Linked DNA regions of Tribolium castaneum. The protein of the gene in region 3 interacts with the protein of the main gene of each other region in a biochemical or structural test. Links are inferred from orthologs where the notes say so. Each region holds a gene or a part of one and is shown on either strand. Other genes may lie near its edges.

Evidence for each region.
Region 1: of the proteins of lwr (region 3) and Aos1, one has a biochemical effect on the other in vitro, tested with the Homo sapiens proteins (6 studies listed by BioGRID, with this or other methods). The link is inferred for Tribolium castaneum from reciprocal best matches to the Homo sapiens genes UBE2I and SAE1.
Region 2: of the proteins of lwr (region 3) and hypoxia-inducible factor 1-alpha, one has a biochemical effect on the other in vitro, tested with the Homo sapiens proteins (2 studies listed by BioGRID). The link is inferred for Tribolium castaneum from reciprocal best matches to the Homo sapiens genes UBE2I and HIF1A.

The regions. Positions count from the first base shown.
Region 1 is NC_087399.1:6,089,898-6,093,376, forward strand, and holds Aos1 (SUMO-activating enzyme subunit 1), read right to left. Parts: upstream 1,880-3,479; 5' UTR 1,696-1,879; coding exon 1,613-1,695; intron 1,569-1,612; coding exon 1,137-1,568; intron 1,089-1,136; coding exon 904-1,088; intron 860-903; coding exon 558-859; 3' UTR 517-557; downstream 1-516. Other genes in the region: U2af50 (splicing factor U2AF 50 kDa subunit), read left to right, coding at 1-283, 330-461; calcium-binding and coiled-coil domain-containing protein 2, read left to right, coding at 2,030-2,068, 2,117-2,315, 2,361-2,920; uncharacterized protein LOC663257, read left to right, coding at 3,469-3,479. UniProt on the Homo sapiens protein: The heterodimer acts as an E1 ligase for SUMO1, SUMO2, SUMO3, and probably SUMO4. It mediates ATP-dependent activation of SUMO proteins followed by formation of a thioester bond between a SUMO protein and a conserved active site cysteine residue on UBA2/SAE2.
Region 2 is NC_087396.1:19,217,424-19,221,604, forward strand, and holds the start of hypoxia-inducible factor 1-alpha, read right to left. Parts: upstream 2,817-4,181; 5' UTR 2,774-2,816; coding exon 2,433-2,773; intron 1,485-2,432; coding exon 1,297-1,484; intron 1,245-1,296; coding exon 1,093-1,244; intron 1,042-1,092; coding exon 859-1,041; intron 808-858; coding exon 608-807; intron 554-607; coding exon 447-553; intron 1-446.
Region 3 is NC_087399.1:9,253,925-9,258,350, forward strand, and holds the start of lwr (SUMO-conjugating enzyme UBC9-B), read right to left. Parts: upstream 2,934-4,426; 5' UTR 2,786-2,933; intron 2,734-2,785; 5' UTR 2,727-2,733; coding exon 2,661-2,726; intron 2,612-2,660; coding exon 2,528-2,611; intron 2,476-2,527; coding exon 2,213-2,475; intron 1-2,212. Other genes in the region: transmembrane inner ear expressed protein, read right to left, coding at 3,072-3,157. UniProt on the Homo sapiens protein: Accepts the ubiquitin-like proteins SUMO1, SUMO2, SUMO3, SUMO4 and SUMO1P1/SUMO5 from the UBLE1A-UBLE1B E1 complex and catalyzes their covalent attachment to other proteins with the help of an E3 ligase such as RANBP2, CBX4 and ZNF451.

The sequences.
Region 1 (3,479 bases), about 3.2 Mb from region 3:
TAAACGTTTGATAGTACAGAGGGCTAGCGTGGGGGCTAAAAACGCAACCGTCATACCTGCGGTACAGATACAAGTACCGGGTCTCAGTCTCGTGGGGGCTTCAGGGCCGCCAACTGAAGTTTTATGTTTGTTGAATATGGTCACTCCCGATGAGCTTAAAGACGAGGAAGAATACGAAGATATTCTCGAAGATATCAAAGAAGAGTGTAATAAATACGGCGTCGTTCGGAGCATAGAAATACCCCGGCCGATAGATGGCGTCGAAGTTCCGGGATGTGGAAAAGTAAGTTTGACGAGGCGAAAGCCGAGTGTTGAATGTATTCTTTTAGGTTTTTGTCGAATTTAATTCGGTTCTGGACTGCCAAAAGGCACAACAGACTCTCACTGGTCGTAAGTTCAGTAATAGAGTCGTCGTGACGTCGTATTTCGATCCGGATAAGTATCATAGAAGAGAATTTTAATTTTAATTAAGGAAAAAATGTTTGACGTATGTGTTCTGGTGAATAAAAAAATAAGTAGGATTAGTGTTTTATTACAAAAAATACAATACTGAAAAATTATGCTCCTACTGTTAGTTCCTTCCCGCTGTAAGTCACAGGGTCAAAAAGAAAAATGTTATTGATTGTGACTTCTTTGTGTGAGGCTGCTTTGATCACTTCTTGGGACATTATCCCACCAAGGATAGCACAAACAGGACTGACTTCACCGAATACCAGATCTAATAAATTATCAACGTTGACTTTTGTGAATTGATACAATTTTATTATTTCAGTAGCGATGTCTCTCAGTTCTTCAATTTCATCTGATTTATTTTCTAAATCAGGGTCACGCTCGAACCTCTTACGAAATTCCAGTAACACTGAATCAATAATTAATAAAGGAAACAAATAACTAGTCACTTACTTAACATGCAGACGAACAACTTGTTAGGTCTTGACATTTTTTTAATGCTCCCAATGTCTTGTTTCGTGTTGGGTAACACAAGTACTTTATTTAACGGAGGATAAGTCAATTTGCCTTTAATTCGTTTCGTTTTCTTGTCCCCTTCATGGCCCCGTTTCGCGCCTGTTGCAAGCTGGATCCGATCCCTGAGATAATTTTAATTAAAATTAAATAAATCGGCAAAAAATTATTACTCGAAATATTCATGATCCTGGAAATCCGACACCGAATACCCAAAAAACCCGGCCACTTCGCCGTAAATAAACTTGACATTGTGCTCCCTGCAGAACCCATCAATTTTCAAAATCAGCTCAAACTTTAGCTTTGTGGCAACCACAATCGTAAACTCCTTGAAATAGTCCCCACTTTTCGCCGCAACTGAACCCGTGTCAACCACAATTTTCACCAACGGATTCAAGGCCTGGGCCCTCGGCAGGACCTGTTCCGCGATTTTGCTCCCGAGGGCCACTTTTTCGTGTAACAAAAAGTTACGAGTCACGTCGTCCTGCGAGACAACTCCGTCGTCCAGAATGGTCAACGAGTTGATCCCCGAAAGCAGGATGTTTTTGGCGATTTCGGAGCCCAAACTGCGGACCCCAATCAACAAAACATTGGCGGCTCTCAACCTGCGAAAGTAAGGTTAGCGGGGCCCAAAGCCAAATTTGCCTACTTTTCCTGCGCCTCGATGCCCCACAAGCGAATCTGGCGGTCGTAGACCTCCGCCTCGTCGGTGGACAATTGTTTTTCACTCATTATTACACAATTATTGGAATAAAAAGCGTAAAAACCCGGCTCTTGAAAGACGGTAACAAAAAGTGCTGCCAACTTAGGGTAGGGTTTTTGTTCCCTTGTAATCAATTTTTATAATTAATTATTGCATTTTTTTTTATAAAACTATTACGTAAGTTTAATTAATTCAGGTAAGTGGCCGAAATGCCAGTTCTGGTCGTAATTAGACACTAATTAGTAAATTAGTTCGCGTTTTTTGGACGAAGCGGCCATCTTGCCTGTCAATGTAAACAAATATGGTGGCGGAGTAGGTGTACATTTGTAAAAATTCAAAAAAGAGGCTTAAAACTCGCAAAAAATGGACACAAGCATAGCACTGATGGCAGACCAGCTCACGGTAATTAAGAACCAACCGCACGTTGGGCCTAAATTTGCCCCTTTTTAGGTGAAGTTTGTTGACACTTTGGACAGATACCCTTGTAACGAAGACATCGAATGTAAATACACGTTTAACAACTATAAAGTGCAAGACGGCGATCGAATCGCAATATTTAAGACGGGGTGGAAGTCCTTGAGGAACTACGTTTTGTTTGAGTGGGCTGTGGACTCGTCTGTGGCTGACGTGAACTCAGTTGTTTTCAGCAGTAAGGGGACTCCCCTGTTGTGCCAAATTTCTAAATGTTTTCTAGGGTACGACTTGCCAAATAGTCCGAGTGAAACGGACGACTTGTACCAGTTTTGCTACATAAGTGGCGAGAACGTGGTCCAAGGAATCAGCACTCCATTCCAGATTTATTCATTTGATTCGAAACATACCGTAAATCTGACGGATTCCCTGAAAAATGAGAACCAATGCACGCATTTAAAGCAGTTGCTAGCGCACAAAGACAAGGAAATTTTGCGATTAAAGGAGGAAAATGCGATTCTGAAAGAATCCCTAAAATCAATGGTTGATCAGCGCAAGTTCCAACGGAGCAAAAACTACGACGATGATATTGAACAGTTGAAGGAGTTGACTAGTAAATTGAAAAACGTTGTTTTGGGGCAACAGAAGGAAATCGACGCTTTGAAAAGCGAAGTGAGGAAGGATAAAGCCGAGCAAAAAAATCTACTATTGGAGAAGAAATTGGCAGAGCGGAGGTTCGAGTCAGCGTGTGGTAAAAACGTCAAGAGATTAAATATTGATTTCGATTTGGGGAGTTTACAGTCACTTCCCGCCTTCCCGTTTGACGATCTTGACAAAATGTGAACTGTGCGCTAATGTTAACATAGGTGTGTAAATTGTAAATAAACGTAACGAAACGGCACAAATTTTCCTTGAGTTTCCAATTTCCAATTAATTAATTTAATTTAATTATATCATATTATGTGTGGGTTGGCGGCCCTGCGGTCACGTGATAGTTCCGTGTGACAGCTGTGAATCATTGCCAACACTAATTTTAGCTCCGTTACGTATGTTTGCGTTAATTTTTTAGTTACATAAACAAGATTGTCTCCCGGGGGGCGCACACCACCGCTGCCGTGCTCCACCACCGTTCGGGCGCACCCACAGTGGCGCAAGCCGCGGAAAATTCCAGGTATGTCAGGCGCACGTCGCAAAGTTGGTAGTGACCCCACGAGTTGTGCCCAGTTTTGCGTTTCCCGTTTGTGAAAGTCCTGCGGGATTAGGTAATTATGGGATTGTTCCCTTTCAGGACTTTGCTCGGGTCGGTTGCAATGCAACGTTGCGCCCGTGCATAAAATAAATCAAAGTGACTTTGCTATCTGTCAACTGTCATCGTTTGAAAATTTAGAAAAATGTCTGAAGA
Region 2 (4,181 bases), on a different chromosome or scaffold from region 3:
GAAAATCAAACAAAAAGTTTAATCCAGTTAGGTGCAAAAACGCCACCTAACGCAACATACCAACACTGCTAATAGAGAAGATTCCTACCGTAATATACGAAATTGTGTAAACTTGTGAAATATTTTGAAAACAAACTAAACAGGAAAACACATTTACCAAATGGGGAGATAATTTTATGGGCATTTCAGGCAACATTCCTGCTTGTTTTCCACACTTAAAATTTCTCTCAATTTCTGATTATGGGAAGACAGTATAAAAAACTAAATAAATCGTCACCAAATATTTGCTCCTCCCGGCTTTAAAAATAAATAACTGCAATATGCCCAATCTTTGCACAAATAATTCGCAGTGCATGTCTAATAACCGCAGCAGTGATTATTTTGAATTGCCAGACCAAGTGTGCAAATGCTGTAAATTACACAATTTTTTCTTATCAAATACTTACAACACTTGAAAGCTGAACAAATCGCGTCACTATCCATGGCATGGTGATAGTCATAAACCGATTTCCCGACCAAATCTTCCGAATCGTATCCCAAAACATCCATCATTCTGTAACAATTTACGTAAAAACCTCGTTAACACTTTGGTAAACATAATACACACATTTTATCGTCAGCGTGCGTAAATTTCATATCCAAACTGTGTTTTGTTAAGAATGTTTGACGTGGTAATGGGGCTTCGATGTTGGAAGGATGCGGAATAGGTTGTCCTATTGCCACAAGACATCGGCGCAAAGTTCCTTTCGCATTTTCTTCATTTCCGTCATCTTCAGTTTGCACTATGTGACCAGTGCAATGGATGACCTGAATTGACCAAATTAGCAAAATTTCTCTGCACAGTTTTCAGCTCAGTACCTTGTAAGTCGCTGATTTGAGATTGACCGATCGGCCTTTGCTTGTAAGAGTACACTTAAGCCTGATAAAAAACGACTTAGGCGTCTCTGTTTCTTCCCGGGTCTTTGTTGATAAAATTTCCTTGATTTCGTCATGATCGCACGGATGACTGTACTCAAAAATATTCTGACCCATCAGATCAATCTGGAAGAAAAAGTCAAACATCTTGCCCAAAATCTCACGTTTCCAAACCACCTGTGTAATTCCAAGATACTCGCTGACATTCTCAGACATGTAAACAATGTCTCCCTCTGAAGACATCACCAGTAAAAACCCCTCTAATGCTTTCAAGAAAATTGATTCATCGGTTAAAATTTTGTGGTCGTCGGGCTCCGGGGCTTCCGGGACTGCAATTTTTGTTAAATAAGCGGAATTTTAAACTGGGGAAGAACGTTTTACCCAAAGTGATCATATCCCGCACCCGCAGATATGCAATGGCCAATCTCATAACGGAAGCTTTATCCAATTGCGAAACCTGTTCTTGTGAAATTGGCAGAGCGTTACCCAAGTCGGTAAAAACTTCGGTTTCTTTGGAGCGACGAGATCGCGCCGCATCTCTGGATTTTTCCTTACGTTTCTCATTATTCCTGGAATAAGAACAAAATTAAGCGAAACGAAGCAACAAACAAGTATTAACATTTTCGCTAAAATAAACACACAACTCTTCAGGCTCCTACCACCACTCGACTAAAATTTGATTATTTAATCATTAAGTGTTCGCCCAAACTACTCATAAGAAAGTTTCGCGAGAAAACACATGACAGACCCCGTGCCTGGACTTAATCCAAGAATACCACAAAAAACGAACTAATCATGTGATTTTATAATTGTGATAAATAAGTTAATAAAATGTATAAAAATAAAAGCGATGCATATAATTAAAAATATGCCTAGTCATTAATTTATTTTCCTTTCTAACTTTTCATAAAAATTGGCATAATCTTACAATGACAAAGTAGACATTATTTTTATTCCACTTCCTCTACAACCGACTTTAAAAAAACCGCAAACATTAACGACCACCTGTTGAATGAAAACTTCCAGACAACAATAAACTAAAATTGAATTAAAAAAATAGACAAACAAAATAAGGAAAATATCGGTGCCGTTAATAAATCCTAGGAAGTGTTTTTGCGATTCTTTACGTTTTTTTTTAAGTTACTGTCTAGCCATTGTTACACAAAAACCCGTGGAGATAGTAAAATAGTGGCACTTAAACTACAATCAATTGATAAAATCTAGCCTCTAATGTCAATCGGCTAATTATACTATTTACTGCCGCAACAATAAAATTTATAGTAAAATTAATTGGACTGATTAATTGTCATAATTAAACTATTGGTGAACATTTGTATAAAAGTTCAAGTGTTCTTCTTACAAAAGTTTGCCCTCTGCATACGAAAATCGATTACATAACCTTTATCTAATTGATTAAATTAACTATTTCCAACCGGTAAAGTGACGTCCCTTCAAGACAATGCTTTTAATTATTTCTCGCTGTTATCGCGGCATATTTGCCCAGCTGCGCCACTTACATGAAGTCTTCAATATCACCAAATTCAACAAACTGGCAAGTGTTATAGCACCCATCTGCATAATAACTATAACACTCTGTATAATCCCAATTGGAGGACGACTGGCACGGTAAGGCCATGCGAGCCAGGAGACCATTAGGTCTAATCCGACTGTTATGTCGATTTGGAATCGGTTCAAGGGTTGCATTATTTAATCCATAACTGGTCGCACAATTCACATTTCCCAAGTAAGGGCTCATTTGTGAAGTTTGTTGAACCGCGACACCGTCTTGTGGAAAAGTACTACACTCCATTTTAGTTAACTGTCGATTAGTGACGTTAAAAGTGGAGAAATTTTTCATAAAACACCAAAATATTGAACTGACACGTGCCTAAAAACGCGAATTTAACCTACATTATGTTTTAGCCGAGGTGATACTAACTTAACCGTAAGCTTAAGTACTGTCTTGTGGCTTATCTAATCTTTTGCACTTGAAAATCATATTTACTGATTTTTTTAACTGTTATCAACAGCTTTTCGTTAAAAAGCATACATTTCGTCTCTAGATTTTCCTCCCTATGGGTATGCAAATAGCCATATTATCGAATCTTCAATTGTGCTTATAACGTTATTGAAGTAACAGTTGGGATTCATGAATAAAACATAGCAAATGTGAGAGAAAATAACCAATAGATTGTATTCGAAACCCCTCTATCTCTGAGCGTTTACGAACCCTTTCAATAAGCTACTTTTATTTACTTTTTTGCTAAAGTAGCTTTTACTATAACTTAAAAACCAATAGTCGGGAAGAAATCAGCGTTTCCTATTAAATACTTTATATTTTTCTCTTAGCATATGAATTTTTTCATTTAGTTTCGAACAGTGAAACCTTCAAAAATTATTGCAAAAAAGACGCTTTTTGTACTTTTGAATTTCTTAAAGATCTCTAGATGATAGTGTCAACTTAACTACATATTTAAATTTTGAAAAAAAAATTGTTAAAAGATGAAAGGTTTTTCTCATTTACTTTGGAACTCACGTATAACAGAACGAAAATAAAAACAAAACTTAAATTTTTATTCCTAATTATACTCGGACGGAAGACTAACATTTGGCAATTCCTCAATTAATTCGCGATATACATTAAATAAGATAATTCTTGATTCTTAAAATCGAGAAAGTGTGATCCCATTTATTTTAATACGACACGCAGCTTCCACGAAAACTATAATTAAGAAGCAGCACATTATTAAAGAAATACGTGCTAAAAGTAACGTTTTAGCGACACAAAAATCAAAGCTCTGTTTTTTCAACATGCAAATCATGTTAATAATACAGCAATCCCGGCTATTAGACAAGAGATTGATAAGCCAATTCCACGAAATACTAAGGAGCTTCGAGCAATTTAGCATTTCTAGACCTTGGTCTTAGTGATGATTTTATTTATGAACAAAGTGCGAAAAGGAAAACAACTATTTTAATTATTCTTACTTAGACATTATTGCAAATCACCGTAGAGGATAGCACTACAAACCAAATATTTACGGAATGTTACACTGCAATTACCTTATACAAAGTAAACATTATAAAAATGATTTTTACTCAAGGGAAAAATTAAGGCATTGTAAAGTACAAAAATAATTGCTATCGTCTGACGACCTCAATCTAACGGAATAGTTATTATCATAGTCGTACTATCACCAGATGATAAATTTGGACCATACTTCAGACTAATAGTCCTAGAGATACAATGTAACAATACGCTTATC
Region 3 (4,426 bases):
TCAAGGTCATTCAAGGTCGAATTTTTCAAAAACGGGGCATTTGCACAAACTTTCAAGGTCATATCTTTGATCTAGAGGCTTTTTAAAGCAAAATGCAAAAAAAAAATTTTCAAAAATCCAGAAGTAGCTAAAGTAAAAATTTACCAACAATTTTTTTAAATTCATTGCTCTGAAAACCTGATGCTAATCAAAGCCAGTAGATATACTAAAGTAGCGACACGGACCTTGACAGGGCAACAATAACGATTATACACTCTACAGATGGCTCCACCATCAAAATTCAAAAACGTACGTCAAAAATGTCAAGATTTTTTCACGTTTGAAAAATTGGTGAATCAGAACAATGAATTCGGTGATCGTCTTTAATTTCACCCTGGTTATTACAGTTTATGTGTACAGATACCATGAAACCTTCAAACTTGTGCTTCACTCACGTAAAAGTAAATCAGATCGTCCCTAAATTCAACTGAACATTGCAATGAGAAAGGCTTTTAGAATGCGCAGAATACAGCAACTCTTATGGACATTTCGAAGAAGGTGCTGGCGCTTCAACAGTGAATTCATTCCTTAAAAGAATTTGAACTTTGTATTTAACGAAAAAGCCAAAAACACGTTTCAAAATAATAGTTGTTTGATTTAAAAAAATTGTGATACTTACATTTCTAATTTTAATAAACTCCTCTCTAAGTGTTTTTACAGTTTATCGTATGTAATTACTCCAAGATTTTAAATTGGTCGATTTATTTTTTTTTAATTAAATTTAATTTTTTCCCTCAACACTATTAACAACTGCTATGAAACCAAGACATTTTTCGCAATAAGAATAGAAAATGTTTTCAATATTACCCGAGAGGTAAACCGCAGAGGAAATCAGTGTACAAAATTGAGTAAATCAAGAAATTTTAAGGAAATCACTTTAAAAATTTAGGGAAAAATCAGAAGGAATCATGATTAAATTACAGGTGTACAAAATTTGGGGTACGGTTTACACCTCGATATTACCTAAGAAATAGAAATAATACAACCTGAATTTCTCTTTATTATTTAAATGTTGCATACCATAGTTGCTGTAAATAAGTGGCTATAAAAAGTCCACCAAACTTCGATGCGCTACAATTCCCAGATTTAGATGCATTAAATTTTGTGAAACGAAGGTCAGTGTAAGCAGAGCGGTCTTAAATTCTTTCCCATTAGGACAGAATCTAATAATTTAGAAGAATTTTCAAGGAAGTATTGTTTAAATCTACCTGAAATACTTATTGAAAATTTGGTATCTTAGAAATTTCTCTTTCAAGTTGGTACCTAACACTTTATGTTTCTGAAACAATTTTTGTTTGAATGAGTTTCCAGTATTCTCACACAGACGTGCTTCGTAATGTGGACGACTTTGAACAGTCTGGAGGCCCTTTTGTTTAATGTTTTTGGTGTCGATTTATTATTTACGTGATTTAAGCACAGGTTTGAAAGTTCCATGAAATCTGTTCATAACCAATAACCACAGTAAAACTACAGATGAACGCCAGAATCACTGTGCTCTTTACCAATTTTTCAAAAGTGAGAGAATCTTGACAGTTTTGACGTATGTTCAAAATTACTGACAATTTGGCGAACCTTTAAAATTACAGCGTTATTACAAAAAATGTCGAGCCTTGGAAAACTAAACTGCCTGTTTAAATACATTCTCGATTTAAATCTATCATCTAATGTGACCTTTAACGAATATCTCTTTAGAGCATCCCCTTTAGCAATTTCATTTAGTGAAGATTAAACGTAGAAACAGAGACAAAACGCACTTACTAAGGCTTTTCAAGGCTACGCATTTTATGTAAATAATGCGGTATATGTCGAATTTCGATAGTTGCGCCCTCTCTAGAGTATATAATCGTTATTGTTGCCCTGTCAAGGTCCGTGTCGCTACTTTAGTATATCTACTGGCTTTGATGCTAATGGATCAACTGCGCCCTCTGGTGACATTAACGGAACTATCGAGGACAATAACGCTTTATTTGTACTAATTTGTATTTCGTATCCTAACCTTTAGATGTCCGTAGTGTAACCTTGTCCATTTATTGTCTTAGTGCCTTTTCTTTACGAAACTAAGTTTTCATTTTCATGGATTACTAGATACGAAATTTCCTTGATCACGTGATCACAATATCCACAGCACTCTTGACTACGTCAAATGTAAACACCCCGTAAAAAAACCACTTACCAGTAGATTGTGTAGGCCTCTGCTTGTGCTGGATCTTTAACATTGGGTTCATTCAACAAGTCCTGAATTCCGAGTAAAATCTGCTTAATAGTAATCGCCGGTCTCCAATCTTTCTCCTCGTCTAACAACGACAAACACACCGTACCTGACGGATACACATTTGGATGGAACAACGGTGGTTCAAATTTACATTTTGGGGGAATGCTTGGGTACTCATCTTTGAACAACATGCGTAATTTGTAATTTCCACCCTCCCATGGCGTCTACACAACAATGCGATAACCCAACAATTACTAAACAATGCAACAAACTTACCCCTTTTTTACCAGGAATTGAGCACTCCCAGTTCATTAGATTTAGAGAGCCATCTGGGTTTTTCGACGGTCGGGCCACAAATCCCTGCGGAGAAATGGATTACATGAGGGCAATTTTGTAAGGAATTACTCACAAAAGGATGTTCTTTGCGCCAAGCTTTGCGTTCTTCGGCGAGACGAGCGGGAGCAATTCCAGACATCCTAGAACTAAAAATCAGGCTCTACCTCAAAATTATCGCACGAAATGACCAAAACGTACTCTAAAAGTGGGCACTGGGGTATTTAATGGGGCCTTATTCAAACTCTAAAGGAAAATTTAACGGGCTTCGGTGCTTTCTTGACAGTTGACAGACAAAAACTGGGAAAACAGGTAGGGGAATTCGCGCAGACGCGACTTGTGTTGGCCACCCTGTCGCCGATTATTTGTTCCAGAACAATTTATTTATTCAAACTTTTCGTGTATGATTTTAAACAAATTTAACGAATACAAAAACCCGGATTTGTGTAATAATTATTTGGCGGCAAAAACATTGGCGCGAATTTGATTAGTTCGACGTCACTTGCTGCAAATCAACTTTTGCCTGGATCTTGGCATTTTCTTGGTCAAAATCCTCCTGAATGAGTTTCAAGGCTGCAAAAAATTAATAATTAGGTTCAATAAACCGTAAAATACAAGGTGGCTCAAAATTGACGATTTCGGAGTTCAGAACACTAAAGAGAAATTAATTCAGTAGTTCAAATACAGAAAAAAATAAAGATTCGGGGCTTTCCCATAAAGATACATTGGTTTGAGGGTGCACTTTAAATTGCGTTTTCTTCAAATACAGGCTAAAGGTTTCAGTGCTTATTGTTATTTATGGTAAACTACAGGCTGTTCCGTCTAAACCTTACTTTAGAAGTATTGAAAGCTCTAATAAAGAAATTTTTTAAAAGTTGGTAGTCAATCATAATCCGTTAAGTTCTGCCAATGAAAATATTTTCAAGATGGCAGCATTTCCGGTTATACCGGAAGTCGCTGTTAACTTTCTTATTTTAAATGAAAAGCTATGTTTTTCACTGCGTTTTTGGATTAGTTGAGTTATTTTAAGAGTTTTCCCTATACCTAAAATTTACCGTTTTTAGGATATTTAAGATTTTTTGAAAATTTTTGGATTTGCACCTGTCACTTAAAAAATTGGTAACTCGGTTAGTTTAGCGATTTGGAAATCATATTAGGAGAATTAAAAAAGAAGGCCTTTATCTGTTCTTTGGTGTGTTTAAAATTGAAAATGAAGTTAATAAACCCAAAAATTTTAAGGTTAAGTTTGGACAATTTCAGGTACCTATAACTTAATTATTTGTTATTCTTTTTTAGAAATTTGAAAACGCCAAAGGAAAGTTCTAGGCTTCCTCTTTTAAATAAGCTGAAAAAGATTTAAAATCTTTTAAAAGTGGTAGAGTTATCAGTTTTTGAACTGGAAGGTGCAAATCCAAAAAAAAATTAAAAACATTTTGTAATATTTTGTAAACGAATAAATTTAGGTTTAGTGAGAGCTTATGAAAAGAACCTTAAAATAACTCTAGTAATTCAAAAACGCATTAAAAAATATAGCTTTCCGTTTAAAATGAGGAACATGATAGTGACTTCTGATATAACCGGAAGTGCTACCATTTTGAAAATATTTTTATTAAGCAGGACCTAAAAGGTTATGGTTGTACACAAATTTTCAGATAACTATCATTAGAACTCCCAATACTTCTAATGTAGGGTTTAGACGGAACAACCTGTGTAATAGTTTATTTACACTTACATTATTTTTCACATTGAATCGAATTATCCAAAAATATATAGGATGTCCTATTTAAAAAAACATAACTTTGGTTCACAACTATGTATACAACACACCGTGTATAATAAAAA